3 linked regions of the Zea mays genome follow. The main gene of each other region encodes a partner of the protein of the gene in region 2 in a complex. Links are inferred from orthologs where the notes say so. Each region holds a gene or a part of one and is shown on either strand. Other genes may lie near its edges.

Region 1 (10,149 bases), on a different chromosome or scaffold from region 2:
CCCCCCATATCTCCATATCAACAGCAGGATTAGCAGGGATAAGCTGCAACGAAGGGAACAAGCACGACCCAAGTGCTTCCTCGATTCGAGATTCTGGTGAAACTACATTCGCTACACGGGTTGACTCTTTTGATGAGTGGTAGTACGCTTTTAATACTCTGCAAACCTAAAAAACATGGACGATGGGTCACCAAGTACATGGTGATGTTCAACATTTTCACTGGTAGAGTATTCATGTGAAACTGGATACTTGCAAATTCCAAGCAAAGAATAATAAAAATATAACATTTTGCACAGCAACTGCAAAGCTGCAAAACTTGGTTGTTGATTGTTATAACTAGGCAACAAGCCAACAACAGTGACATTTTGGTTTATCGCAACGAATGGAGGAAATTCTAGTCATGACTATGGCTAGGTGCAATGCAAGGGCTAGTATGGTGCTTCTGTATGAATTCCAATGCCACAACCAATAATGTAGCATCTGTGTCCTGGACTAAGCCATCAGTTTGGCAGCGCCAAGTATGCATGATAGCAAGCAGTAGTAAAAGATTTAAGTCACCTTTTGAAATAATTGAGTATCACGATGAAGATATGGTCCACAAGCGGTGAGCATTTGGAAAAACTCCTTCAGCAGATCAAATGAACTTACAGACACAGCAGATGTGCCTGTCTGGTCAGCATCATTTCTAGGAGGCAGGTAATAATACAGGTGACAAACTATATGATATGCGGAAGACATTGTCTTTTCAATCATTCTGCATAAAGGAAAATAATAAAGGTGAATATAAGTTAAACTGCATAAACCTAAGAAATATAATCATTGGATCAAAAGAAATACAACAAACCTAAATAATCCATCACAGATTTCAATGTGCTCAACAGGATTTAGGTGCCCAAGACGCTCAAATAGTAGTTGTGCATGATACCTAGTAAATAACAGAGGAAAGCAATCAGTAATATTTACAACAATAAAGCATTTTTGTCCCAACAAAGTCAATCTAGACTAAAAAGTGCTTTGAAATAGCGTATTGTCTTCACAATATGATTATACAACAATTATGTTTACAAAGTGCGCAGAATATTGGTGCATCTCCTACAGAAAAGTGATTGCCACCTATGAATAAAACAATAAAAAACATTTGTGTTCATTTAATAATTATAGAACAAGTAAAAAATAACGGAACATATGTATCTTACCAGTCATGCACAGAGAGAAAACCAAGAAGTAGCCCAAGTTTCTGGTTCTTTTCCATCTCAGGGGCTCGCTCCCCAACTATATCGTTTTCCATCTCCAATGCGGTATACATATCAATAGTAATTTCTTGTTTCTCGTCATCCATAAGGTCCTTCCCAGTAGCAGCAAGGTTGATTTTGCCAATTTTATTAGCCTAAAGTCAAGAAAAAGAGTAACTTCGTTAGTCAAAGCCTCAATGTCCTACACTACATAAAGAGAAATCAATATGGCCATATTGTTAATGTAAGATCAAATCCACGTGTGGAGGTAGAAATTGTTCCGGTGAAGAAAAAAACTAAAGCTCTTTCTGTTTTTCATTACGACAAAAGGGGAAAATATTGTACATAGTTAGACAAGACAACAACGTGTAACATAACCATGCAGTATATGTCACATGAAGGGATGGCTGTACATAAGGCTTTTACTTCAAGAAACTTCTAAAGTTTTCCATCCATCAACCTTCTTGCCACTCCCTTTCATGCTACTCTCTTGGCCAGTTACAGATTTATAAGAAATACCAACCTCATCAATTCTTCTTGAAATGAAAGAATCAAAATGCTCAAACGCCTCGTCGTCATTTGGAAGCAAGTGAGAATAGCTGGAGAGAAAAAATGGTCATGACAGATCCCATTCGAGAAACAAATAGTCCAGCACCAACCAAACTATATATAGTAGAACATAAAAAAAACATAGAGAGGCTACAATCAGTGAAATCATATATTTATATATGTTCCCTTTGGTTCAGTAACACCTAAATTTGCACAACTTGAGGAAAATGAACTGATAGAAATCTAACAACACTGAAAACTGTGATAAAATTGGGAAACTAGGAAATGGCCACCATGGTACAGATAAAAGATTGAAGAACAATGCTTTTGTTGGTTACACCTTGAGAAAACCATAGCTACAAAACCTCACAGCATAAAATAAAAGGAAAAGATCTGACAATTGTTTAAATTAGAGATGTATAATGATCTTCAAGATGAATGTTAGCCATCATGAATTTTCCATGGATGAGTAGGCAATTAGAAAACATACACATTATCAAGGTCGATGAATCCAGATTTGATCAATAAAGCTGCTGTTCTGAAAAGGCCAGAAGGAACAGGGCTGTTGACATCCAATCGTTGATAGTACTGGAATTTGAACCCCAAAATTTGGGCAGCATGGGACTGAAATAAAAAAATGTATTAAATTGTGAAAACGCTGCATTAATTATGACAAAAATCATGTGAGATGTGGTAAAAAGCTGAAAATATTCATAAATTATGAGACTCCTATTATTGGATGCTGGTTCTAAACTTCTAATTCTAATAGAACAAATACCTTTGGGAAAAGAGGTATGAGCTGATTAAAGATGTTACTATCTTGGTAGAGTTCAAAGCATTCCAACACCTGGCAGACAAGAACAACAGAATTGCACAACTTCAACACCACACTCTGACATTTAAGAGCATTGGCATAGCAAACGAAGACTCACAATATCAAATACACGATTTGGGTCCAGATCAAAATGGCCAATCAATGACTGCCACAAAATAAACAATTTGTTATTACACAGTACTGGTAAAAAAAGCTAAAAATATAGCACAGAGGGAATTAAGGCCTACAGACAACCTTTATAATGCTGATCGTAACCGAAGAAGAATTCTGGCAAGCCAGATCTGAACCAACTTGACAAAGGAGTGTCACCTGAATGATCCACACACACAGATGTGTAGGTAAGAAACCGCTAAACATTAATAAGCATCACAAAAGAACCTTACAAAACTATAGGAAGAACATGATTAGCAGAAATCACAGACAGTGGCGAGGTACAATCATTTAGGTAATTTTCAAAGTACAAGTCTATATAGAGATAGAGGACGTGGTATTCCTAAGCATAGCACACTTAGCACTGTAGACATCATTGTTTACAGAGTGAGTTTGAAATAGGAGATAAGAGAGCTACTGGAGATAGCCTAAAGTGATTAAATTGGAACACATTTCCAACAGTTGCTTTGGGAATTATAAACTCATAGATTCCTACTATATTTATATTAATTTCCTATCCTTAGCATCCATATGTACTTATTACTTTAACCAAAACACATTGAACAGTGCACTTGTTTGGTACTCCCTCTATTCTAAATTATAAGATGTTTTAACTTTTCTATGTACATAGCTTTTGTTATGCACATAGATATACGCTATCTTTTTTCGGCAAGGAAGATATAAACTATGTCTATATACATAGGAAAAGCAATTGATGCATCCAAAAACCAAAATATCTTATAATTTGGAACGGTGTAGTACTAATCTAAATTTTTTAGGTTATTGGTAGGTTCATGGCCCTCTGGCATTTCTAAGAAACTCTAGGGGGATGTAAGAAACTAAGAACTGATACTTTGCTAAATTTTGACCTCATCCTAATAAACTAATTCTTACTCCAGCAAATGGATTGTCGCAGCTTCTCAATTTCCCTCCTAACAACCTATGGTTGTGACAAAGCACAACAGCAGAGGTTACAAGAGTGGTCATACCAGTCACGACACTCAAGGTGCAACATGTGTTGCGGTAGAATTTGATCAGGCTAGTACAAGAGCCAAGCATGCACTTTCAGACAAGGACAAAACCCAGATGGACAAGGCAGTATGGTAGACAAACCATCAACTACCATTCAAGGAACAGGATTATGGTTATCTTTATTCATAAGCATGTGCATCCAAGGAATAAACTAGTCAACTAAATCATTTATCCCTTATAGAAAGAAAACAGTTTCTTGAACCTCTTTCACGCTCATGTCATGTCGAGGTACTGCAGAAAAAAGAAACACAAAATCTGATCCATTTTTCTAATAGATTAGTCAACATGGTGGTTACGAAGGGTGTCATCCAATGTTTTATAGGGATGGCCTAATCAATGCTGCCGCTCTAAAATCACTACAAGAACAAAAAAAAGAACACAAAATCGGGACAAGTAGACATACATACCAACTTGGCATAGCCCTCACTTTCCTCCCGTAAGAGGTTGAATTTAGTTTGCTGGTAAAGAAGCCGTGTGTTGACCCTAACCTGTTACCAATTACAGATCAACGTCAATCGATCATATAGCTAATGTTAAAAGAAAAAACATATCACCGAATAATATGAGGCAAAAGTAAATCACTCAAGAACCACGATAATAGAGGAAAGGTAAGGACATGAATGTGATTGAGAAAAAGAATAAGGATACTATGAATATACCATGGTAAATTAGTTTACTTAAAAAAAGTTTAACAATGTGTGCCCGCAATAAGATGCCAGCATAAAACATCATGACTCAACGTGTATGACAGATAGAGAAATCAGCACATTATGCGTACCTCCTTGGATTTTAAATCCTGGCCTTTTAGCTTACTTTGCTCAACTTCCCAAAGGAAATCTTCCTTCAAGTCCATGGGTGGAGGAAATAGAAAGCATGTAATGTATCAGCTTTATCTTAAACTGATGCCAAAAGGAATAAAAAAACTCACTTCACATCGCTCTTGCAGAAGCTTAGGCACAGTAATCAACGACTCCACAAATGACTTAGTCTGCAAGATGAGTATCCATATAGAACTCAATGAGCACTTAAGCAGTCCCATTTTTAAACCAACAAGAAAGTAGACATCGAGGAGTACGAATTGTTTCATTTGCTTTAGAAGTCATGCCTAACTTATTACCATTTTAACAAGACGGCTGCGATATTCACCAGATATTGTAATCTGCATTTTGAAGTAAGTTAGAATGACTAAACACTATTAGAGGAATGTCACTAAACCAAAACACGAGGAGAAAAACTCATCCAAAAAAACACAGGTGCCAAAGCTCATGTCAGGTAAAACGTAAAAGCAGTGAATCATGGGTCAAAGTCTAATAACCTAATTGCAGCAGATAAATAAAAAAGCAACAGAGGCAGGAAAACATTTAAAATTATATGATGGGAAATGGTAATGGCACAGTGAATAGTATTATTTGCATTTATACAGTGTCGTCTCTATTGTCCACCTTTTAGTTCAAAGAAATGCATCGAAACAGAACTTCTTAGAGACACAGACACCTCATAAACGCTACAAAGTGGCCAATTCAGTCCATATACACATAGCTAGTGCCACCAAAACACATGACAGGATACAATCATACAATCCTAGTCTGAGAAAGTTAACTAATCAAATACACACCAGACACCACGAAACAAACTTACTACCCACAACGATGGCATCAGAATAAATTGCATATACTCACGTCCTGTCCTAGGTGGGCAATGATATCAACGAGCACGGAGCCGAGCTCCTCCTCCCGCCGTGCCTCCTCCACGAACACCACCGACTCCAGTGCCACTCGGCTCTTCTGGGGCGGCAAGTCGCCCAGCACCTGCGCATCCCAGCCCACCCAGTCAGCACAGAAGGACCAACGGGTGGAGGAAAACCAAATCACGGAGCAACCCGAACTGTCGAAAGCTTACAATCGCCCAGCAGAGCTCGTAGAGGAAGCGCGCCATGGGGACCGGATCAGGGATGCGGAAGGCGCCGGCGGACTGGCCCTTCCATTCGCGAAGGGACTCATCCGTGATGTGCTTGTAGTCGGGCGCCTGCAGAGGGGGCGACATGGCGGTGGCGGCAGTGTTGGTTCGGGTGAGGGTTTTGGGGATTAGGGTTTCATGGGAGCTGCCAAAGGCCAGAGAAAGAGGAGCAGGACCGGGGTGGTACCGATGGAGAAGGCGAGGAAGACAAGGACGGCAGAAGCGCGGTGTGTGCAAGCAAGAACGGGATGCGTGGCTTCCGTTTTTTGTTTTACACCAGTGAAAACAGAGGCTTGCCTAGTGCGATCTAAGCTGTCAACGGTCCAGATCCAGCGTTCATAATAGCTACCAAAGTAAACGAATATGTACATTTCAACAGAGTTTATATATTGGATCATTTGTTCTCGTTTGTGCATTTTAGAATCAGATTATATATCGTAGTTATATACTCCCTCTATCCCAAACTAAAATTCGTTTAAGAATTTTAATGAATCTATACAATGTTGATGTATGTTTTTTATATATAAATATTTACCATCATCCATTTAAATATAGTAACAAAAAATAAGAGTTAAGCCGAATAATAATTTAGATCCCTTGTATTCATACGATAGATGAGTTTAAATTGTGGATAGATGGTAAATCAATTATAGCTTTATTTGGATGCTCGTGTATCTCATATTCTCATCCAGTCCATGTGCGTTGGAATGTGATGTTAAATTTTTTGGCTACTTTCTTCAATTGTGACAAGTAGGATATATAATTTATATTCTTGTGTGTAGCATTGAGCTTATTAAGATTCATAAAAAACAAACATTAAATTTGTTCTAACCCTTTTTAAATGATTGGTATAAAATCCAGATACGCATACAGATTCAAATTTGGGTGTTTTTTACTTTTTCCATGTATGAAGAAAACAATGCACGAACAAATATACAAAAAATTATTCTTGTTTTTCATAATATTCTTAACAACATAATTAAATATTAGCACCAAATTACATGTATATCTATGTTAAGATATTGAATTTATCATATACTAAATAAAATTAGTTACTCGCGCTCACAAAGTGGGTCGAGTGACGAAAGAGTGTGATGTAGTGATTTTGAAGAAAAAAAAATCACACTCTAGTATTAGATAGAGAGAGATTTATATGTTTTTTAGGTCTTTAGCTTTGACTCTCGCATTTTTTTCAAACTTACACACTATGATGTTGCACAGACGTTGAGACTGGGAGATTAGTACAACCACACTCGTAGCTTGTGTCTTATAGCATAACTGAACATTAAGGGACAGTTGGATCTCTTTATTTTAAAGGAATTGAAATTTACTTAATATAGTAGCCTACTTAGTTTGAGATTTGGTATTCAACCACTTTTTAAAGTTCAAATATAAACATGTCTCAAATTCATAGAGTTGAGGGATTGAAATTGATTTTATATATCTTTAAGCTATGACTCTGCTCTGCAATTTATAACACGCTCTTCAGTTCGCTCATCTGTACCGAAAATATTGCACATAAATATCTTCCTCATATAACTAACAGTGGTATACAAATATGTTATGCGTTGAACCATGTTAACTTAATTGATTTATGCCTAAATTACTGTTATAAAATGGGATTCAATGCCAAGAATCCAAACGGGCCTAACTGTATTTTCTATCTATATCAGTCACAACCTGTTAGCAGATGCAATTACGATTTCCATGTATCAATACATGTCATCCACAAATATATATTTAGCTATCCATGTCACTTATTAATATTAAGTTATAATAGTTTATCACTTTATATAAGTAACTAATTATAGTCTAATTTGATTCTAACTCACCTACTGTTCCTCATCAATGTACAAGATATGCTTATAGCCTAGATGGTCGATGATGACAAACTATCAACGTAAAGCATGTTCAATGATGCCATCGAACCATTCGAAGGATTGTACTGATAGTCAATAATGTAACATGGAACATTACTAGTAGTTAGGAGATCCAATAGATTCAAATGAGCTTTACTTATAAAGTCAAGTGTTGGTATAATCTTATCATCAAGAGAGGTGCAATAAAGTGGAAAAGGAACTTCACCAACAACAATGGTAGCTAGGAGAACTAATAGTTTCAGCCAGACTTTATTTTGAAGGTTAAGTATTGGTACGACCTTACAATCAAGAGATGTGCAATCATGACGACCTGGCATCCCTCCGACTTTAACAACCTAAGTGTTAGTAAGGCAGTCAACCCTAAAACATGCAACCATCAACTTAGTTAAGAACCGACTAAATAAGAACAAGGTGGAAGGGAACTCAAATATATGAGGACATGAAAACAAAATGTTAAACATAAGTTGGTGGACTCGTGCTTAATTGTCACCAAAAAATGTTAACACACACATCCAACTCATCTTGGTCAACGAAGAAATATGAAGCCCTCTAACCTACTAAAAACAAAGTTAACGTTTCTAAGGACTACATGTGATTCCTATAATAATCATAAATAGGAAATGGTGCAATTCAAAACAAAGTCAACGCCCAACCTAAAATATGATTTCATATTATACATCAATACAAATTAATTTAACTAGATTTAACTAGTGATTAACCTTGATAAATAAGCATATGTAATGATAAAACTATAGAGGTCAAGCTCTTTAAAGGGAAGTCGAACTCTATATTGGTGAAAAGACAATTAAAACAATAATAAACATTATTAATGGCTACAAATATGAAAGTAATACAAATCATCAACACAAGATGCACAAGCATCCAATCATTACCTGGAAAAAAGCGAAAGGGGAAGAAAAAGAATAAAAGAGGAAGCACTTGAAATGATGAAACCTACAAGCTCTGAATCTAACCTGTTAAATAAATAATATTAACATATATTTGACTAGAGCTAACTTTGTTTCTAACGAACTTTAATTAAGTTCATCAACAACTTTTATTAAAGACTTAAACTACAACTATATGAGGAAGGTTGTCAAAGGAAACTCTAAAATTTAGATAAAAATTTAATAGACGTTCAACTAGTCAAATAGATAATTGTTTGTATAAATACTTTAAATGTTGTCATCATAAGAAATACATTACTCCCTCTGTCACAAAATACAATTCATTTTAGACTAAACATGCATTCATTGATTAGTCTATGAATGTAGTATGTATTGTATGTACCACATTCGTTATCATTAATTCGAACGTGGACGAAAAAGGGTCAGAAAGAACTATATTTTGAAAATAAGAGAGTACAAGTCATGTACTTTAATGTAGTATATAACATTAGTTAGAAAACAATATACAGATAGTTAAATTTGAAACCTCTATTCTAGAACAAATTCAAATTCATAAAAACAACTTAGAGTACTTGTCTTGAATTTGGGTTAACGTTACAAATTTGATACTATATGTCCTCCCGCTTTTATTAGACAAATAAATGTGAATCAAATGCAAAAGTTGATGTTATATAGCACTTGAGTTGGCAAAGTTTGACCTATTGAACTTCCTAGGCGCACTTTCATTTTGAACCGAAACAGAAGTTCCAAACCCTAGTTCATGACCAAAAAAACCTTTTGACAATGCAAAACTTAACCTTAATTGTCCACTAGTCTAGAACCTCAATAATAATAATTACGTAGTAGACTTTGTAGATCATCTTAAGTGGAAGATGTTTTGTATATAGTGTCACACCTAGGTCTACACCAAAACGGCCATGATTTGGATATAAAAATCAACACATGGATGCCCCAATTGCTCAATGAAATGCCTATAAACACATAACAACAATGGCCATGTTTGGGACAACTCTAGCTCCAGAAAATTTGGTGGGGTTAGTGGAGCAGGTCATTAGGTGCTCTAGAAAAATCATGGAGCTAGAGTTATAAGCCTTTATAATACATTTAGATAAGTCATTTTGTTTGTTATTTAGATTGAAAATATTTTTATAACTATTTAAATTGATATTATAAACTATAGCTCCACACTAAGTGGAAATTGGAGCCATCTGAAACACCCCAATGTCAACATGTCATGTGCGCATTTGACACACCCATGGCGCATACATGTCCATTCCCATTTGCAGATTTGCCACAGTCACTTCCTTGATGCCCAAGTTGTCACTCCGAGATGTTACGTGTGTGTCTTGTCACGGTGTCGTATGTGCATGCTACATCATGGTCACACAGTCACCAGGCTCTACCATGTAGCTGCTCGCTGCCATGTTGTCATGCTCCCACATCCTCATCCTGTGTGAAGCCTTCACTAACGTGTGGATCCCTGGCCATTACCATCAGGTTCACCATGCATGTTAGGAAGCAAAGACACGGTACGGTGTCTTGGTGCCCATCATGCCTCCTTGGCACCTGCCACCATCCTTGCCTTCACTATGACGCGTCGAGATTG
Region 2 (10,031 bases):
TGGAGGGATTTCAGGACGTGGTGCTGGAGGCTTGGAATTCTGTACAGCCGGTCAGCTGTCCCTTCATCACCCTGGATAGGAAACTCAAGGTGACAGCCATGAGGTTACGCAGCTGGAGTGATAAGCAGGTAGGACATATTGTTTCGCAGCTTTGTCTGGCAAAGGAGTTGCTGCATAAACTCGAAATCGCTCAAGATCACAGGGCCCTATCTCCGGCTGAATGCTGGCTTAAAAATAGACTCAAGAAACAGTCCCTGCTGCTGGCCTCCTTCAAGCGTACCATGGCAAGATTAAGATCAAGAATATCCAGGATTAAGGAGGGGGATGCAAACACCAAGTTTTTTCATATGCATGCTAGATATCGGAAAAGGAAAAATCTGGTGACCTTGCTGAAAGACGGTGATAATATTATTACTAGCCATGCTGCCAAAGCAGATTTAGTGGATCAGTTTTATTCCAACCTTATTGGTCAGTCGGTCTCCAGGGAGAATACCATTGATTTAGCTGCTCTCGGCCTCCCAGCTCATAACCTCTCCATCTTGGACGCCCCTTTCACTGAGCAGGAGGTTCTAGCAACTGTCTTGAACCTACCTGCTGACAAGGCCCCTGGCCCAGATGGTTTTACTGGGAGGTTTTATAAGGTTTGTTGGAACATCATCAAAGTGGACGTACTCAATGCAGTTTCAGCAATTTGGTGTAGGAACTTCAATAACTTGGATAAAGTTAATTCTGCATATATTACTATGATCCCAAAGTTTGATGGGGCTGATCAGGTGAAGGATTTCAGACCGATTAGTCTTGTGCACAGCTTTGCAAAATTGGTAACCAAGATCCTGGCCAATAGGCTTGCTGGTCATCTGCATGAGCTTGTCTCCCCAAATCAGAGTGCCTTCATCAAAAGCAGATTTATACAGGACAATTTTATATTAGTGCAGCAAACTTCAAGATTTTTACATCAGCAAAATATGGCATGTCTTCTTTTTAAGCTCGACATCACAAAAGCCTTTGACTCGGTTTCATGGCCTTTTCTGATTGAGGTGCTGCAGGCTTTGGGTTTTGGCCAAATCTGGAGAAATATAATTTGTGGGTTACTTGGTTCCTCAACTACTCAAGTGCTGCTCAATGGGTGCCCTGGCAATAAAATCCAACATAGAAGGGGGCTCAGGCAAGGGGATCCCCTCTCCCCCATGTTATTTATTTTAGTCATGGATGTCCTTTGCCTTCTATTTGCCAAAGCTGAAGAGACAGGGTTGCTGCAACAATTGTCCAACAGAAAGAAACTTCATAGAATTTCTATTTATGCTGACGATGTGGCCCTCTTCCTGCTCCCAACTCAGAATGACATTTCCACTACTCTGGACATTCTCAACATCTTTGGGAATGCCTCAGGTCTACACAACAATGTGCAGAAATCCAGTATTTATCCTATCAGATGTTCGGAGCAGACCATCCTGGAGGTTCAAAGCTTGTTACCTTGTGGGGTGGAGTCCCTACCTTGCAAATACTTGGGTCTCCCTCTTTCTCTACACAAACTAACCAAACAGCAGCTCCTGCCCTTTATTGAGAAAATTGCAGATCTTCTCCCAAGCTGGAAGGCAGAGTTGTTGAACAAAGCTGGCAGAAGAATTCTAGTGCAGCATGTCCTAACTAGTATGACAATCTATACTGCAATGGCTATTGATTTTCCTAAGTGGGCTTTGGATGCAATTGATAAAATTAGAAGGGGATTCTTATGGAGAGGCAGAAAGGATGCTAAAGGAGGTCACTGTATGGTAGCCTGGGAAAAGGTTTGTAGGCCTCTACATATGGGAGGCCTCGGGATTTCTAACCTGACTAAGCTTTGTTGGGCTCTCAGAATGAGGTGGTTGTGGCTGCAAAAAACTGATTCTTCGAGGCCATGGGTGGACCTACCCATTCAGGTCCCAAGTATTGCCAGGTCCTTCTTCTCTGCAGTGTTGATGTCAGAGGTTGGCAATGGTGCGAATACTCTTTTTTGGGTGGATAAATGGATTAATGGGAAAAAGGTAGCTGATATTGCACCAAGACTGTTCTGCACCATATCAAAAAGAATTGCCAATAAAAGAACAGTGCAAGAGGCAATGGACAATAGGAGATGGATTAGTGATATTAGGGGCGCTCTCTCAGCAGGGGCCTTGATTGATTTTCTGCATCTCTGGGAAGCTTTAACGGATTTTCAGCTACATCCTGATATTGAAGACAGACACATTTTTTCCATAGCGCCAGATGGTAACTACTCAGCAAAAGTTGCTTATGAAGGGCTCTTCCAGGGATCGTGCTCCTTTCTTCACCACAAAAGAATCTGGAAATCCTGGATGCCACCCAAGTGCCATTTCTTCCTGTGGCTGGTGGCACATGATAAATGCTGGACTGCTGATAGGCTGCAGAAAAGAGGCATGAACCATCCGGCTAGGTGCCCTCTTTGTGATCAAGAACCTGAAAGCATTGATCACCTGCTGGTTTCCTGTGTGTTCTCAAGAGTTTTCTGGTATAGGCTTTTGAGAAAGTTTGGGTTACACAGCTTATCCCCTCAGCAAGTGGAGCCTTCCTTCCTTGGTTGGTGGGAGAATTCCTCGGCTCAGGTCCTCAACATGGGAAAGAAAGGACTGGACTCCCTTGTTGCTTTAGGGGCCTGGATGATTTGGAATCATAGAAACAAGGTGGTGTTCGATGGAAGGACCCCCTCTATCTCCTTCCTTCTTCAAGCTGCTGAGGATGAACAGGAGACGTGGCGGCTGGCTGGTGCCAAGGGGCTTTCCTTTTTGGCCAGCCAAACTACCTAGCTCCTAGGGCTGTAGTGTTTTTTGTCCAGTTTTATGGATAGCTTTGTGTATGCTTGTTTCTGGCCTCCATAAGGAGTGCTTGTACCTGGGTCCTTATGGCCCTTTATTTTCCCTCTACTTTAATATATGGGTGCGCAGTCCTCCTGCGCTCTTTCGAGAAAAAAAAAATACAATGCACAAGACAGGAAAGGATGATGGTTTGAAACCCGCACCCCAGATACGAGCTGTCCCATCCTCTGATCCTGTTACAACCTGATCAAAAAATAAGTCAGTTAGTAACATATCACATATTGTACATATTATAGACAAGATGAACATCAAATAATGGAAAGCCAAGATAATCAAATAACCTGGCGGTTTGACTCACGAACTGCAATGCTGTGCAAATAATCAGCATGCCCCTTGAATGTGATTTTACATTTACTGGTCTCCTGAGAGAAGCAGTCATGATTAGCATTAGTTTCAGATACCTTCTCAAGCACAGAGCATTGATATTATCCAAGCTTGTAATGCTAAAGACTCTAAAGCAGAACTGCAGTTCCTTCTATGTGTGTTCAATTTACCTTAAGAAAATACATACCACATCCCAGCAGTAAGCACATGCATCACCCGCTGCTGCCAAAATGGATCCATCCTGTTTGGAAGAATGATGATAACAGAAAATAAGATTTGTTGAACCAAGCAATATGCATGAGGAACGAAAATTTGGGACAGTCACACTTCCTGGAGGATATAAAAACATGAAAAGTTCCAGTTGTTAACCTGTTTATTAATTGCAATGGCATTGTTTTCAGGTACTGGAGATCGAGCACCCCAAGGACCCCTACAAAATTGCCAGCAGCAACAATGTTATTAAAGCTACGTTTAAACTATGTTTAAACGTCAAAACGCTAATTAGAGCTTGAAACCACGTTTTGTCGTTCTAAACTGTAAAACGCAGTGTTTTATGTGTTTTAGACCATTAGCTACTTTTGGGCCCAGTCTGTTAGTTAGGGTCCAATCTGGCTCATGGGTGAAGTTTTGATAAGCCACTAGCCTCTCTATTTTGGTATTTAACTTCATGTTATTGTCTGAAATTATGATATATTGGTATTTTTCCTATGTTGTTCAAAACTAAGTTTAAACTTTGTTTAAAAGTCAAAACTTCACCCATGAGCGTTTTATCGTTTTAATAACCTTGAGCAGCAACAATGCAAACAGGGTAAATTGGGGGGGGGGGGTGGGGGGGGCAGCTGCTGGAATAAACGGTGTAAACTGGAAGGTCTGAGATTGCAGTTTTATCACAGAATCCTTACTCGTGCTGAGGGTTGACCAAGTCAAGTGCTGGTTCCAGATGATCCCCTGTGAACAAAGGCAACAGAAAAATTGGTAAAAGCAATAACAATGACCAAAATGTAGAAGATGCACTAGGCAATTTTCGGCGCATTTCCACACAGATACTCGTTTGTTCTCCCTTTTCTCCTTTATAGGAAAAACAACATATGCTCGTTCCTTCCACCTTTTCTCATGTACGAAAAACAACAGATGCCTTGTTTCACTTTTTATCAATACAACTATACTGGTTATTAAAAAAACTGAAATAATATTAACTTGGCCTTCAAGGCGCAACACACAGAAAAACTACAAAAGATATTGATGCATCTTCATAGATAAAATAAGTAGCAACTATGAAACATTTTCACATGAATCATGCCTTGCACTGGCAAGATTCTAGATTTGTATCTATGCCAGTGCAGGGCATGATTCATGATTTCTCCTGCATCAAACCTACACCATTGTAAAAAATGTGCATATTTTTTCGGTGCACCTGTGCTAGATGCATCGCAATGCCCTAGTGGCCTGGTAAAGCATATGACCATTTATGAAAGAAACCACGTCAAAAAAGAATGGAAGTTCGAATGCAGCACCTTGCAGGGAGAGCGGGACAAGGCAGCTCTGCATCTCGTGCCACCTCCAACCCTTGATGCGGCCATCGTCCCCGCAGCTGCCACAAGGAAGTAAGCAGCCAAAGAACCGCACAACCATTAACCCATCACCGTCTCCAACCAAATGAAGCACATTGCCATGGGTAATATTGTCAAGAAGCATAAGAGCCTGTTTGGAAACTTTGGATACAAGGGCTAGTTGCTAGTGCTAAAGAATTAGCCAAAATTAGCTCTAGCGCATCCACCGAACAGGAGGGCAAATTGGTGGATTATTTTTTTAGCCAGGTCTTCAACTAGTTGGAGAAGTCAATAAGGATAAGAGCCTGTTTGGATACAAGGGCTAGTTGCTAGCGCTAAAGAAATAGCCAAAATTAGCTTTAGCGCATCCACCGAACAGGAGGGCAAATTGGTGGGTTAATTTTTTTAGCCAAGTCTTCAACTAGTTGGTAGCCAACTAGCTAGCTAACCACAGCTAATTTAAGCGAATTTTTAGCCTCAACTAGTAACTAGCCATGTGTATGAAACATGCCAAGTCAAACATTCTGTCAGTCACCTGAAGAGCAGCGGCTGCTGTTGATCGGGGTAAAACCTGACGTCGTAGGCAGGTCCGCTGTGCGCTTGCACGATGCAGACAGGATCTACCAGAGTGGCGGCGGTCTCCACCTGAGAACCAGACCAAGAAAAACTCACTCTACGCCTCTCTGGGCGTGCGTCACCAAAAAATCAGTTCTGGCCAAAGGGTACGAACCTGGGAGGTAGCGGAACATGCGGAGATGCAGGATGAAAGGGAGAAGGAAGCGAGGGAGCCGTCGCTGGAGGCGGCGGCGAGTAGGATGTCGGTATCCGGGTCGTCGCTGTGGTCAAAGAAGACGGCACGGAAGAGGGTGCGGGACGAGAGGTCGCGGGCACGGAGGATGCCGCGGCGGTACGATGACTCGTCCCACCGGCGCGCGTCCATCGATGCCGGATGGGACTGCGCCGCCGCCGTCGCCATGGCTGTCCTACTCTGCGCTGATGCGCTCTGCGCTTTTGCTTCGGGGAGCGAAGGGATCAGGGAAGACGGGGACAATTCCGAGTTCCCGACAGAAAAGTGAAAGCGACAGCGGGTTGGGCTGGGCTTCTTTCAACTAGAATTCCGCCGGCTTCTGGCCCATCTTTAAACTTTTCCATCAAAATGCTTTAAGCCTTTGTGGCACGCTCCCTTATGATTTTAAACAAATAAATTTATAAGAAAAAATATTTATATGGTTTTCTTGAGAACATCTCCCTTAGGAGTTATGCAATTTTTTAAAAATAAAATCTAGTCTAATTCACACAAAAATATGGTTTTGCTCGACAAAAATATGAAACAATTTTGAATTCTTTTTCTAGAATCTTTTGTGGAGTTATTTGAATCTTCTATGGATACATTATGGTGACATGGATTTTGTATAAGGCAAGGGCAAAGTGACTTCGACAATGTTATGAGTGTTATGTAATGACCTCATATGCAGTGCTTAGTTGATGAGCTAGTTAAGATATTTGTTATTGGTGACTTGTTGAAGCTTTTGTAAAAAAACGCAACTGGGCAACACAATTAAAGTAAAGTCTCTCTCTTTTTTATCTTTGATGGGTTCTAATGTACCATTAAATAACGTAGACGAAGCATGTATTCAATTTACAAGGGTCTACATTTTTCCTTTCTCCTTTATTGGATTAAACAAAGATGAGGAATACATAGCAGTTATGAAACCTTTGGAAGGTATTGAAGGTTTCTTAAACTGATTTAAGTGCTTGAAGATGACATACCTTCTAATACTCTTTGTGCACGAAGGTGCTACAGGCTTAGACATACAAGTGACCAACCCTTGTAACAGTGGCATTGTACACTTATTTATAAGATCAAGATTACACACATTCCAACTCAGAAAAAGAATGTCCACTCCTCTATATGAAGACTATGTACAACTAGAGACTAACATTATGTCTTTTTTAGGGAAGAAGTGTTGTATACACCTTTTCTTCCTCCTTCGATAACGTACTAAGGTAGTTCAATCCTATTAAAGTTTCATTTCTTCCTTCTCCTTTGGCTTGTCGTTTCTTGATGGAGAGCCGACCTAAGCCTCCGATTTAGACACATGGTTCGGAGGTAGCCAATTGAAAATAGACTAAAGCAACAATTTTCATCAAATATAGATATTCGACCAAAAGCTCTCCTCAACACTTCTCTAATCGTTGAGGTCACCCTTCTATATGAAGTCTAGTTCCTCCAAGTCAATTATAAGTATTATAGATAGAAGAATAACTACTATAAAATAAACATCATAATGAACCCATAAAATACCCAAATAACTTCAAACTGGATCTAATAATAGAGCATGTTTTAGTTAAATATAAATGTAGTTTTTTCTAATGATTTTTAAGGTTAAATTGGATTTGAGATTATTTATTTGTTAATTTTCTTTTCATGGACATCTTTTCCAAAAAATGACATTTGAACCTTGAGCTATGAGCATGTTCCGATTTATCACTAGGGTGATACCCATAGGCATTGTTTCCAATGGTTGTAGATACCAAATTAACATGTAGGTGTGAGTACATATATGAGGTTATACAAACGCATATGGATCATATGTCGATTCAGCTGGTGCTTCAAATATATAGTACAATGCTCGTGCGTTGTGACGACACACAAATTATTCGATAAAATGTTAGTGCACAACGATTACATGAAAACAAACAATACATATATTATAATTGATATCAATATCGCACATATTCTTATGCGACATGAATTGACAATTTCCAACCGAACCCTAGACACTTATACATGTTGCCCGCTAGAAATTCCTCAAACTACTAAACTAAGTAGGCAGTCCGAGATAACCATGGTGGAATAAGAGGCAAGTGATTTCGGGCCAATAAATTTGCACTATCGACCAACCCATGAATTCTAGAATATAAAAATATTACTCATTGTTACATCAACCGATAGGAATGAGAATACATCAGCTGATAGAAATGAAAATAAACATGCATATTGTATCGAGAACCTTATATACACAGGCCCAAACCATGGCAGGCTAATTCATTATTTTGTACACTTGCACACATTATATGGGAGTGAATTAAATTATCCTCACACACACTTACCTGTGTTCTTCCCAAATTTTCCACTTCTTATCATCCACTAAATCTAAGAACACTCGAACTTCTAAATTGTTTTCTTCCTAAATTGCAAACAAAACATTCCACATCATTGGTTATAATCACATGTATCAAATGCAGTTGCTAAAAAAGGAGTGACATGCATTAAAATAGTCTATAGAACACAAATGAAGTTATCTATGACAAGTGAGGAGGCTGTAAGTATAGCCTAATGTCCTAGCCAACATTTTTAAGTCTCCATTTCCAAGTTATAAGATATTTTGGTTTTTTTCTAGCCACATAGCTTGTGCTATGTATTTTGATAAAATATTGGTCATGGCAAGGGAACTGCTCTTCCATCATCTTAGGGTTTGTTTGTTTTTCAGCTTTTTTGCTGATTCTAGCTGTCACAAGCTGTCGCGGACTACCAAACGCTCAGCTTCTCAGTTCGCTTCTATGAGGATCGCTTTGATGAAAGTTGTTCAAAATTAACGTGAACACACAATCGGTCGAGTCGTCGCGACAGGAGGAATCCATCACTTCCTAGATCCTAAACCCCATGGACCCCTTCATTTTCCTTCGCATGTAATCCACATAATACTCAAATTCTCCTCACATCCATATTATCCCTACAATCAAATTCTCGTAAAAGCTCGTCAGAAAAAAACTGAAACAAACAGACCTTTAAGTAGTTCCACACTGGTTGCTATGTTCACCTCTCATTGCATGTGTAGTGCAAAAAATGATTAAATTCTAGGTTGGACTTATGTGACATAATAGAAAACTGTCTTTTCTAGATTTGAAAGACAAACACCTTTTATCTTTTCAGAAGACAAGGCACAATTGCTTATCTCTTCTTAACACGGTTCCTCCTAGGTGGTTTAGGATTACATTTAAGAAATAGGGTAAAAACCAGTATGCCCATAATTTAGGATTTTCGTATCAAAAAATTCCTGAAGGATATGATGCCTACTAAAAGTAGTCTAGAGGGGGTGAATAGGCTAAACCTGAAAATTATCACCAGAACCTTCGAGATAATGTTAAATCTACAGTTCAACTGGTGCAGGCCAGTTCAACTGTAATAAAGGCAAGTTGAACTACTCTGAACCAGTTCAACTGCTAGAATAAATCTAGACTATGAACTGTGCAGAAAATAGAAGATGGATCTCTTATAGTGGAAAACGCGAGAGATAAGCTAAGCGTGGATGGTGAAAATACGAGAGTTAATTCACCACAAGATCCACACGGCGAGTAAACCTATATGATGTCTATCTTGCCAAATAAAATCACAATCATAGATCGAGCAAGAACACAAGACACAAGATTTATCCTGAGGTTCGGCCACACCACAAAGGTGTCCTACTCCCCGTTGAGGAGCCCACAAAGGGCAGGGTCTTTTTCAATCCTAATCCTCCACAACCCGACCACCAAGGTCAAGCGATTCTTTTTCTCAAACTTGCTCACAAGAGAGGAGAATACAAACTTCTTGGGGTCGTCCACAAATTTGGAGACTCCCAAGCAACCTCAATTCATCTTAAAACCCTAGGGTTTCAAGAACACAAAATCGCACAAGAGGTGTTTGCAACAAGCTCAAGAGATTAGAGTGAGACGGGAGAGGAAAACCAAATCTGTGAGCACAAGCACAAACCTCACACCAAAGGGCTCCTTCAATCGAGTTGAATCGAGAGCAATTTTGGGTGAGAGGAAGAAGTGTGCCTTTGTCTCAAATTAGGTGTGCAATGAATGTGTGTGTGACCAGTAGTTATGAAGAGATAGGTGTGGGGGCTATATATAGGCTCTCTTCAAAAGTAGTTGTCTGACTTGATTTTTCAAGGGGAGACCGGTTGAACCGCCCTAGGGGGCAGTTGAACTGCCCCTAGTCTGACTGTTAGCCTTTCTGCCAGTCAGACTGGCAGACTGCTGGACAATCTGGTCAAATAGGCTGAGATCGGTTGAACCAGCCCTAGGGGGCGGTTCAACTGCCCCTATCTAACATGTCAGAATGTCTGCCGGTCTGACTGGCAGACCGCTGGACAGTCTGAGCAGATGTCCCACAGACCAGTTGAACTGCCCATGGGGACCAGTTCAACTGGTATTGACCAGAAAGTTTAGGAGAGAAAACTCCAGTTCAACTGGCCTGGAGGCAAGTTCAACTAGTATATGGTCAGAGAGGTTCACA
Region 3 (9,919 bases), about 16 Mb from region 2:
TAACCTTTACTTATTTCGCAAGGAGGCTGATTGGAAACCAGGAGAAGTGGAGAGACTCAACCACTACGTGAGAACCACCCATCCACCATTTATCATAGTTCCCACTATCCTGTGATAGCAGTGCTCACTGGAAAATGGGGATATAGGGGCTACAAGTCCAGGGCTAAAATAACTTTGACCCTTGGTCAATTTTTTTCAATTCCCTGAGGCCGTCACTGCATATCAACCTAAATTGATGATAGCAACCACCAATTGGCTCAATTAAATATGTCAAGGACTTAACTGATGTGCAGTGTAATGTACCAATGTGCAAATCCTTCATTAAGTTCAATTGCATTGACATGCTCTCTAGAGTACAAAAAAAAGATGTTGACACTCACCCCACCCCCAACACACACACAAAACTCTCAAACCTTTAAAATTTAATAAATAGTCTTCCAACGAAGGAACAATAATGACAACTGAGAACTCATGTTTAGAAATATAATAAAACCATTCAAGACTATTCCCATCTAGCAATGTTACATTGTAAAGTTAAGGTAGAAGAACATACTCAAGTTTTGTGAAGGTTCTAATGCATAACAACTCTTTGACATTCCAAAGACTGACAAGTGAATCTGCACTTCCAACAGCGAAATACCTAGCATTGGAACAATTTGTAACTGTCATCAGAAAAACAATTATAGCTTCTCCCAAAATCAGAGTAACTGGAAACCAGATAACTGATTACTATATCCAAAAGATGACTACAAAATGTATGAAGCTTACTTGCATATTGTTGTGGACCAAAACTTGAACATAATTGCTTTCATCACAAACAAGGCTAATTGGAACCATACAATATGGGTCCGTCATTTAGGCCCAGACTCAGTCACACATCAGGCGATTTTCTCCACCTCAATCTATGTGGTGGTATATTGAGCCTCACAGTTCGCAGGACAAAGTATCTAGCGTAGAAAATAAACTAGATCCACTGGCAAACTAAATTGCTCCTCTATGTAAATTCTGAATTCAGTAGTTGCATGAACAGAACAGGTAATCATTTCTTCTCAAACTCACTTACATGTAGGTCATGTCCTAGTTAATCACTCACCCAGAGGTTGCTATTAGTTAACAATTTCTTCTTTACCTAGAGATGAAGCTAGGCTATAAAATTTCAATAATTCTTGTTATTCTGGTCTTTTAAAAAGAAAAAGAATTTTGTTATTCTAATAGCCAAAATATATGTGAATAGGTTGTGGCAGTATTAATTGGAATTAAAGTAATTAATCATGCAAGCATCAGTGTCAAATATTTATAGAGTTCACTGTTACATACATCTTAAATCAAATAGCAGGCCAGATAACCCAATTGAAGTAGTACAAATTACAAATCCAAGTGATCCAAAGAAGTACCAGGGGCGAGAATAAATAAAGAGCCTTCAATAGAAAATACCTATCAAGTGGATCCATTGCAATGCAATAACACCCTGCTGTATGAGCATTCAGCTTGCAGGGCTTTAAAAACTCAAGATCCTTAACCACCTCAACGTGCCCTGCATGACCAATAGACCATGCGGAAACATTAACTGATACAATATGGTAGCACTAGAAATCTGCCAAAATGTAAATACAGTGTTTATTTATTCAGTATTATTAACGTGAGCTTGGAGAAAGCATTTAGTATCCTACCTAACCCAGTAGTAATGAAGAATAGATCTCCAGCTTTATTCCAAGCAATCTCATTCATCTGAGGAACAAAGCAATAATGCAAAGTTGCAAACATTAAACAGTGAAAGCAATATTTTTCCTTGAACACACATGTGTATCAGCATTGAGGGAGAGGCCAAAATGACAAATCAGTCCTCCCTCCCCCCCCCCCCCCCCCCCCAAAAAAAAAAGTGCAAAGTTGCAATGAAGAATAGATCTCCAGCTTTATTCCAAGCGATCTCATTCATCTCAGGAACAAAGCAATAATACAAAGTTGCAAACATTAAACAGTGAAAGCAACATTTTTCCTTGAACACACATAATGTGTATCATTGCATTGAGGGAGAGGCCAAAATGGCAAATCAGTCCATCCCCCCACCCCCAGGTCTGAGTAGGTGGCTGAGTAGCAGGTCCTAAGTTTGACTCCCTATGACAGCAAATTTTATACTGGGGTGAAAAAAAAACCTCATCTGCCGAAAGGTTCATGATCAGCAATACACAAATTAAAATAAAGTATACGAGCGAAAGGGCCTCTAGCTGAGTTAGCTAGGTGGTTTGAGTTCGATTCCCCATGAGAGCGAATTTCAGACAGTGTTAAAAAAATCCTCTTGTCTGTCCCATGCCAAAATATAGGTGTAAGGCTTGGTCCTGGTCGTGGTCGTTCTTACATGGACTATGGTGCCACTGTGTATGGGTGGAGCACTGGAGCAGGTGTCCGGAGGTTTTCTCAACATGTGTGAGGTCTTCTTCTTAATACAATGTATGGGGGTTGTCTTATCCCCCGCAAGTCAAGTTTTAAAATAAAGTATATGTTCAATTATTTGCTAAATTCATACAGCAGTACCCATTTACTCAAAAAACATCCATACATCAAATTGTCTCAGACAAGCACACAAGAACAGTGCTGCTCATTTTATTTCTACAAGGCGAAAGGGTCTCTAGCCGAGTTGTTTAGATGCTCTGAGTAGCACTCCTCAGGTCCTGGGTTTAACTCCCCGTAGGAGTGAATTTTCAGGCTGTGGTTAAAAAAAACCCTCGTTTGTCCCACGCCAAAGCACAGGTCTAAGGCCCAGCCCCGGTCGCAGTCGTTCTCACATGGGCTACGGTGCCGCTGTTTATGGGTGGAGCAGGGGTTCGAGGGTTTTCTCGACCTGCATGAGGTCTTCTTAATATAATGTCATGGGGTCTTAATATAATGTCGTGGGGCGGTCTTACCCCCTCCAGGTCGAGTTTTTATTTTATTTTATTTTATTTCTACCGACATGTATATGTGCATCCTAATCCAAAGAACAGTTGGATCAAACAAAGAGTTGTTAGAAAATGATTCATATATCCAAGCTTCAATTTATAATTACCTCGTAAGTAGACTTGTGTTTCTTAGCAACTTTAAGTGTCCTAACATCCAATATCGTCAGCTCATCCTCCTACAAACCATAACAAAACTGTTATTGTAGACATATAAATATATAATTTGAAAAAATTAGAGTTTCAGTAATTTGTAAACATCATATAGATACAGTTTTATTAACCTTATATGATTCCCCTCCCCCCTCCCCCAAAATGCATGTTTTTCACAAATTACTTAAATTATTTACATAGATTTCTCAAGCTCAAGAATATTTATCTATAACCAAACAGAATAAAACATGTCACAGCTCCATCTAATTGATTAATTAATATGCCTATATGTACAACTTTAGGTGCATAATCCAATTCTATATTCTATATTGTTATGATACTGCCATACTGGTACAGGATTCAGCAATGCAAAACTGTAGGACTTCCAGAAAAGAAACACCAAAATAGCAATATGGCTGAACTTTTTTAACGTACTTGCTGAAAAAGGTATAAGCCAAAAGTGACAGTAGAACAATCCATCTTACTGTAAATAAATAAACCTAACCACATTAATATAGGTCAGTTTTCTAAATGTATCCATTCTTGGCATTAGCAGAGAAAAGTTAGGCAGTACAAACCTTGTTTCCAACAGCTATCTGAGTGCCATCATGTTTATATGTGATGTTGATGTTTTCTCCACTAAGTTCAACAACTTGACATTTTCCACCTAAAAAGACACAAAGAAGCATTGACGAGAAGATAAAATCATTATAACTTGATTGACAGAAACTACCACCAAGAGTCCAAGATAGAACAAAAAATACAACATATATCATCTGAAAGCCAGATGTCACATATGACAAAATAGCTTCCAGATAAAGTTATTACATAATAGATCTTTCCACATCAAATTTGTTGTAAATGTGGGGTAATGTAGGAAATAACAAAGGGCCTGTTTGGATCTTATCAGATTCCAGGTTCGAGCCTGTAGAAGCTAGGATGGTCTCCAAACACCCACCATCTTCACAAGCCCGCTTCCACAATCTCAAAAGCTGAATGAACTTCGCTTCTACCAGCTTATAGAAATTTATATGGATCCAGATGCAGTCAAAATAAAAGATGTATTTCATAGATTTTAAGAAGTATAATGCTAAATGCATTATGAAATGCTAAAGAAAAACTGTGCTTTCTAGCAACATCATGGATGAACTGTGCTACTTACTTCGAGCATCCCAAAGACGAATAGATTTGTCAGCAGCTGCAGTAGCAACTGTATCAGGATGATTTGGATCCCAGCAAAGCTGATCTACACTATCTGTGTGGCCTTTCAGTTCAATATCTTTAACCTTAGACTGTAACAAATTAGCACAAGTTCCCATTTAGATCTTTCAATGGTATAGAAACATACGCTGAAATTACACTCTCTGGCTCTCTGCTACCAAATAGAAAAGCATAGAAAGGGCTATTATTAAGAATCAAGGTAATATACTCTAGTTAAAAGTTATTCAAAACTCTACAGCTTACTCTGAAGATTCCATCGGTTCAGAATAAAACCACGTCTCGTGCTACAAATTATGGTAAAGGTTTCGTTGCACTATAAGAACATTATATGTTGAGTTACACCACAATAACTGATAAACTGAAAAGTAAATTATATTGCGCACAAGCTAAAGAAACAGGAATATTACTGTAAAGTACCTGTCACAATTTCTGCAATAGCCAAAGCTTGAAGTTAAAAGGGAGGTGCAGATGAGAAGCATTTGTCCCTCTTTGGCATATCACGCAAACTAATGCTTTCTTAAGTTCAATGTCATAACTTATTATCTAGGTTCTATAAGATAGGGAATATACCAGTTATGCAGATTTTCAAAATTTACCAAACCGATCATTATCTTAATAAGAAAACAGTGGGGAGCGTATCCCATTCTGTAAAGATAAATTTGGTACCAAGGACAGAAGGAGAGAAAGTTACATGGACATGTGGATCAATGCTCCAGACACGTGCGGTATGATCGATCGATCCTGAAGCAAGCTTTGTGCCTAGGCAGTTCCATGCTACAGAGTGCACCTAATGATAAAAACTATCAGAATGGTGAACACAATGATAAGATTACCAAAGAAATGCATAAAACAAAGCAAAAATAAGAACCCACAAATCAATCTAAATTTTGTACCGACAAGTACTAGGGTAGAGTGGTTTTGCTTTGAAGATCGCTATGAGGAGTTAAGGACAATTAAGCAACACATTCAACATAATGTAAGAAACAAAGAAAAAACATCCTCAGAATGTCATATATTCATCCTGAAAGAAAGATCATTCCTTCTTATTTCTCCTCATTGCAACTTTACAACATGCCCTAAGATAATCTCAAATTTCTTTATAGAACCAGAGGAAAACTGCTCTTGCTCCCCTGCAAGGACAGGCACCACGGCCCCTTTGCTGCAACAAAGGACAACCAAAATAGATTGCCTATTGCAACTAAATTCATTTGCAACTAACTGTGGCTGCAGCAATATTTCGTTTTCATCATGCCTTAACATTGACTCCTTTCATGCTCTATATAAAGAGAAGAAATAGCTAAATCCCCTCTCCACGCTTATAGCTTCGAATCGAAAGCAAGATAGGTCCACGATCCCATCTATGTTCTCAGGAACCAAACCGGAAGGCCCAAAGATTGTTACTTCCGCACCTTGTTTCATCATTCTGCATGCAAGGCCGGAATTTAGGGCCTCACCCTACGAATTGCAACCCTAATGATTGGAACTTCGAAACCTTTCTTCTGGCGAGATTCTGGGTTTTATAGGGGCTCAGAAGAAATTATAATGGGATATTGGGGAGGCGTTGAGAGGTATTACCTTCTTCTTGTGGCCGTAGTATTCCCTCGACACCAGGTCCCTTAGATTCGCCCCAGGGGTCGAGCCGCCGCCGGCGGCGGCGCCACCGCTGCCCTTCCTCTCCTCCTCTCTGCTCTCCATGCGCTCTCGCCCCGTTTTGTCCGGGAGGGGAGTAATCCAATTCCAATCCCAAAGTACACAAACTAGCCCATGAAGAGATCGGGCCAGGCCTGATGGGCTAGGCTACATTAAAACATTCAGCAACTCAGGTCCTGTTTGTTTAATATGATCTAGGCCCATGATTCCATAAGCTACCAACCTTCATTTTGAAAGAAAAACCTATTCCTTAACTGTCACACCCGTTTCTTTGAGACAGAGCCGGGTGCATAGCATATGTGTGCCAGGATTTATTTTCACACATATATTGACATTACAAGTGTAATATATTAAAAGAATGATACATAAGAGCGTAAATAAAGATTATATTAACATGTTACACTTCGAACAGACATAATGTCTTAACCTTTATTCATCAAAGTACAGCGAAACATGGACATCCATCCACAGGAAGATGACCGGGGGTATCAATAGACTAGCATCCATGGAGCTCAGCATCATAACTTCATCTGCAAACTTCTGATCAAAATTTAAGCAAGGGTGAGCTCACTTATGGTCAGGGCTCAGCAAGTGGGGGAAAATGCAAGGTAACAAGGTAAGGCTAAAGTTAAATGCGATTGGCATTTTAGTTGGTCAACATTTTATTAACAACACTTGTCTTACTAATAAGTGTGAATCCCAAGTATTCCCATTAAACAAAGGTATAAGAGTATATCAAAAACACTTAAGTGAAACCACTTAAGCAAACCATTGGCAGATCATCGGATCTCGATTTATTTCCATCTTCAAGTTCAATTATCATGTGAGGAGTCTAGGCTGCTCTTAACCGTGAGCACAGCTGATATATCAGTTTTACACTCTGCAGAGGTGGCGCATCTTTACCCATGAGTCACGATCCCCTTCTAGCTTGGGTTAGCTAGACCTGTATTCACTTCCGAGGTGAATGGCTAAGGTCTCACTACGAGGCTTTTCCCTAGAGTCCTCATTATGCAAATGCTGGAAATGGTCAAACTGCATAGAGCACATCTAACGTAACCAACTTATAGTCCAGTCTGCAGGGTAAAGCTTTGGGAATTATGCATGTATCCAATCTGTCTGAGCCAGAAATATAAGCGCTTGCCAGATGCCCCCGTTCCGGTCGACCACGACCAGCACCCAACATAAGACTTCCCTAGTTATTTAGCCAAGGGCGTCCCATACCACCCTCATGGTAGCACTGTTTTCCCGGGTGGTCACTTCATGTTCCAATTAAATCATATGATCTTGCTTAATCGTCGGATTAGCAACAATAATGTAAACTTACCAATTGGAACCTTAATATCACAAATCGGAGTGACTGCATAAAGTTAAGTTGTAGCAATAGCATAGCTACGAAGGTAAAGTATAATACCCAAGTTTGATCAAGGAATATGGTAGAAAAGGTTAGGTGTATCCGAATAGGTAACCCATCAAATTATGCATATATATCTAAGTTCTTAAAACCTGACCCGGTTTGAAACACCGACCGCATTTCACGGGTTCGGCACCTAACGTTTACTGACGCGTGGCAGTACAGCATCGGACGCGCCAACATGTGCCCCCCTCGTGCCCTGCCTTGCCTGTGTCGCCAATGCATGCTTTCTCTCTCCTCGTGTCGCGCTCCCAGACACCGCTACAGTGCGCACCCACATGCTACAGAGCTTGGTGTCCGGTGCAGAAACCAGCTCAGGTCAGGCCTTGCCTTTCGCCGTTCGGTCGCCGCGCATCCGCTATAGCGTCGCATCTGCCAACTATAGTGACCAACGTCTGTTGCTGGCAGGTGCTCAGGTCACGCCTCGCAGGTCGCCATGCCGTCGCGGCACGCGGAGGCATGGGCACGGGTGTATGGTTGTCCTTCAGTCAGGCGAAGGTCGCATTCGACCGCGAGCCCTAGCCTCCGCTTGACACCATCCGTGATTTGTCCCCATGGAGGCTGATTTGACGCTGCTGTTGTGCCCCCTGCTCTAGCGCGGACCACAGGCAGCTTCCACTTTGAGAAGATGTGTTGGGGTTCGTCCTCGCCAGCCCTGAACGTGACTGTCCTCTCTGACCACGACGATGCGCGCCTTGACAACAACCCCACGTCTAAGCAGTGTCGCGGCATGGACACAAGGTTCGTACTTTCTTCCCTTTTATTATCTCCTCCTCAGTCCCCCTCATCCTCAATTCGCGTTTTTGTGCCCTACAACTGAAGTTTCCCCCAAAATCGCCTTCCTTAGGCCTGCGATTTTCCATTCTTTGTGTGTCGTATCCACCGTCGCCAAGGGATTTGCCTGATGTGGTGCTCGTAGCGTTCATGACCTATCTCTCGAGAAGGCCTCCCTGGGTGCAGGTTCATTTCCATTCTCATGTTAGTTCGCTTGCCAATTCAGAGCTGCCTTTAGGATTTCTCATGCATGTTTACTAGAACTGGTAGATTAGTTCATCTGCTGCTACTGCCATTGTTTCCTCTAGAGTTCAGTTTTTTGGCTTTGTATGCTTCGTTCGTGCCAGGAGCTTAGGGAGGCTACAATTTGTGAAAAAATGCAATTTCATCCAGTAGTGAATCAATCTGCATACAATTATTACCTCCATTTGTCTGCTAGATAAAGTTGTCCTTGGCTTTGATTTTTTAGATTGCAGGGTACATACACTTATTTCAAAAGAAAAAGGATTTCTCCATCACGAACAGTCTGATGCTTTGCCATTCCCTCAGGATGTAAAAAAATGTTTTCCTCAGCTTGAAGAGAAATTATGCTTTGTCAATCGCTTTAACAACTAACTAATTTAGGACCCCCTTCTTCGAGTTCTATTTTTTAGTGTTTTCTCTTTCTGAAGTGAAATAAATATCATGTCTATTTTTTGTAGGACTCGTGCACTCGAAATCTATAGCTTTTAGAGTCTTTGTTGTGCAAATCTTCTTACAAAACCTATGGTTCTCTGGAACACTCTTTAGCATACAAAATTTTTTATGAAGGTTGTCTGATAGACAAAGCTATCGGTGACCCTTTTCTTGCTTCTTTGTAAATGCAGAGTATGCCAACTTTTGTCAAGAAAATAAAAGTCAGTCATCACAAAGCAACCCACTACTTAGTCATTCCCTTATAGTATAAAGCATAGAAATATTCTTAGTAGCTTGGATTAAAAATGATGGTTTGCTAATCACTAAAACAGATAACTAATTAAAGCCCTTCTTCTCTCATTTCCCTTGTGCTTCCATTTTACTCAAAAGAATATGTGATGTTGTTCAAGGGAGTACTATTTCTAATCTGATGGAGGCATGTTTGTAGCAGGCATCCTACCATTGATGCTCCTCTACATCATGCTTCTAGGAGTACTGAAGTTCTGCCAGTTGGTTATGGCGACCAAAGAACGAAAATATGCTTATAGGAAGAGGCAAGTTTTATCAGCAAAAATTGTGCTCCTTCTTATGCCTACTATATAACAGTCCATTTGTGAATAAATACGTCAACACTTCTAAATCGTCGCGCTCACCTAGCAAGTTGGCTGTGAAGAAGTTGTTCACTGATACAGGTTATGGGAGCGTCGTTGGCTCAGGCAGTCCAGACAACACCGTCAGGTCCAAGTAATTATTTGCTTCTATGACAGCCATATGTTATTCTTGATATCAAGGTTTAAAGGGCACCAAACATAGACAGTTTCACAACTTTTCAGTGTAGCAAGCATGTTGAGTTGCAAAGAGAGGATTGCATGCATTTTGCCGTCACAGTTGCAGCCATACCTTTTGCTACACCGTCGCCACCTATTACTACTATTTTGATGTTGCTATGTACATAGGCTTCAAAAGGGATATGTGGTCCATGTTCATGCCTGCTCCGTTGCCTAAATTGGAGACACACGACCTTAACAGGGTATGTGTACTTTAGCTCTTGTGTTCACAACGACATATGACATACAACTGCACATGCTTTTCTAACTGGCTA

Evidence for each region.
Region 1: THO complex subunit 6 (region 2) and THO complex subunit 2 share a complex: the UniProt entries of both Arabidopsis thaliana proteins name them as parts of the THO complex. The link is inferred for Zea mays from reciprocal best matches to the Arabidopsis thaliana genes DWA1 and THO2.
Region 3: THO complex subunit 6 (region 2) and THO complex subunit 3-like share a complex: the UniProt entries of both Arabidopsis thaliana proteins name them as parts of the THO complex. The link is inferred for Zea mays from reciprocal best matches to the Arabidopsis thaliana genes DWA1 and TEX1.

The regions. Positions count from the first base shown.
Region 1 is NC_050098.1:214,422,204-214,432,352, reverse strand, and holds the start of THO complex subunit 2, read right to left. Parts: upstream 6,028-10,149; 5' UTR 5,843-6,027; coding exon 5,699-5,842; intron 5,608-5,698; coding exon 5,479-5,607; intron 4,959-5,478; coding exon 4,917-4,958; intron 4,788-4,916; coding exon 4,728-4,787; intron 4,641-4,727; coding exon 4,578-4,640; intron 4,288-4,577; coding exon 4,207-4,287; intron 2,927-4,206; coding exon 2,852-2,926; intron 2,763-2,851; coding exon 2,715-2,762; intron 2,630-2,714; coding exon 2,561-2,629; intron 2,407-2,560; coding exon 2,273-2,406; intron 1,833-2,272; coding exon 1,757-1,832; intron 1,389-1,756; coding exon 1,198-1,388; intron 927-1,197; coding exon 846-926; intron 756-845; coding exon 560-755; intron 167-559; coding exon 1-166. UniProt on the Arabidopsis thaliana protein: Acts as a component of the THO subcomplex of the TREX complex which is thought to couple mRNA transcription, processing and nuclear export.
Region 2 is NC_050102.1:102,979,552-102,989,582, forward strand, and holds the start of THO complex subunit 6, read right to left. Parts: upstream 5,860-10,031; 5' UTR 5,721-5,859; coding exon 5,475-5,720; intron 5,390-5,474; coding exon 5,280-5,389; intron 4,786-5,279; coding exon 4,709-4,785; intron 4,143-4,708; coding exon 4,097-4,142; intron 3,625-4,096; coding exon 3,564-3,624; intron 3,436-3,563; coding exon 3,382-3,435; intron 3,233-3,381; coding exon 3,152-3,232; intron 3,054-3,151; coding exon 3,014-3,053; intron 1-3,013. UniProt on the Arabidopsis thaliana protein: Acts as a component of the THO subcomplex of the TREX complex which is thought to couple mRNA transcription, processing and nuclear export.
Region 3 is NC_050102.1:86,885,537-86,895,455, reverse strand, and holds the start of THO complex subunit 3-like, read right to left. Parts: upstream 6,028-9,919; 5' UTR 6,003-6,027; coding exon 5,883-6,002; intron 5,095-5,882; coding exon 4,999-5,094; intron 4,379-4,998; coding exon 4,249-4,378; intron 3,754-4,248; coding exon 3,665-3,753; intron 3,113-3,664; coding exon 3,044-3,112; intron 1,729-3,043; coding exon 1,671-1,728; intron 1,535-1,670; coding exon 1,435-1,534; intron 641-1,434; coding exon 554-640; intron 1-553. UniProt on the Arabidopsis thaliana protein: Acts as a component of the THO subcomplex of the TREX complex which is thought to couple mRNA transcription, processing and nuclear export. Contributes to the integrity of the endogenous trans-acting small interfering RNA (ta-siRNA) pathway.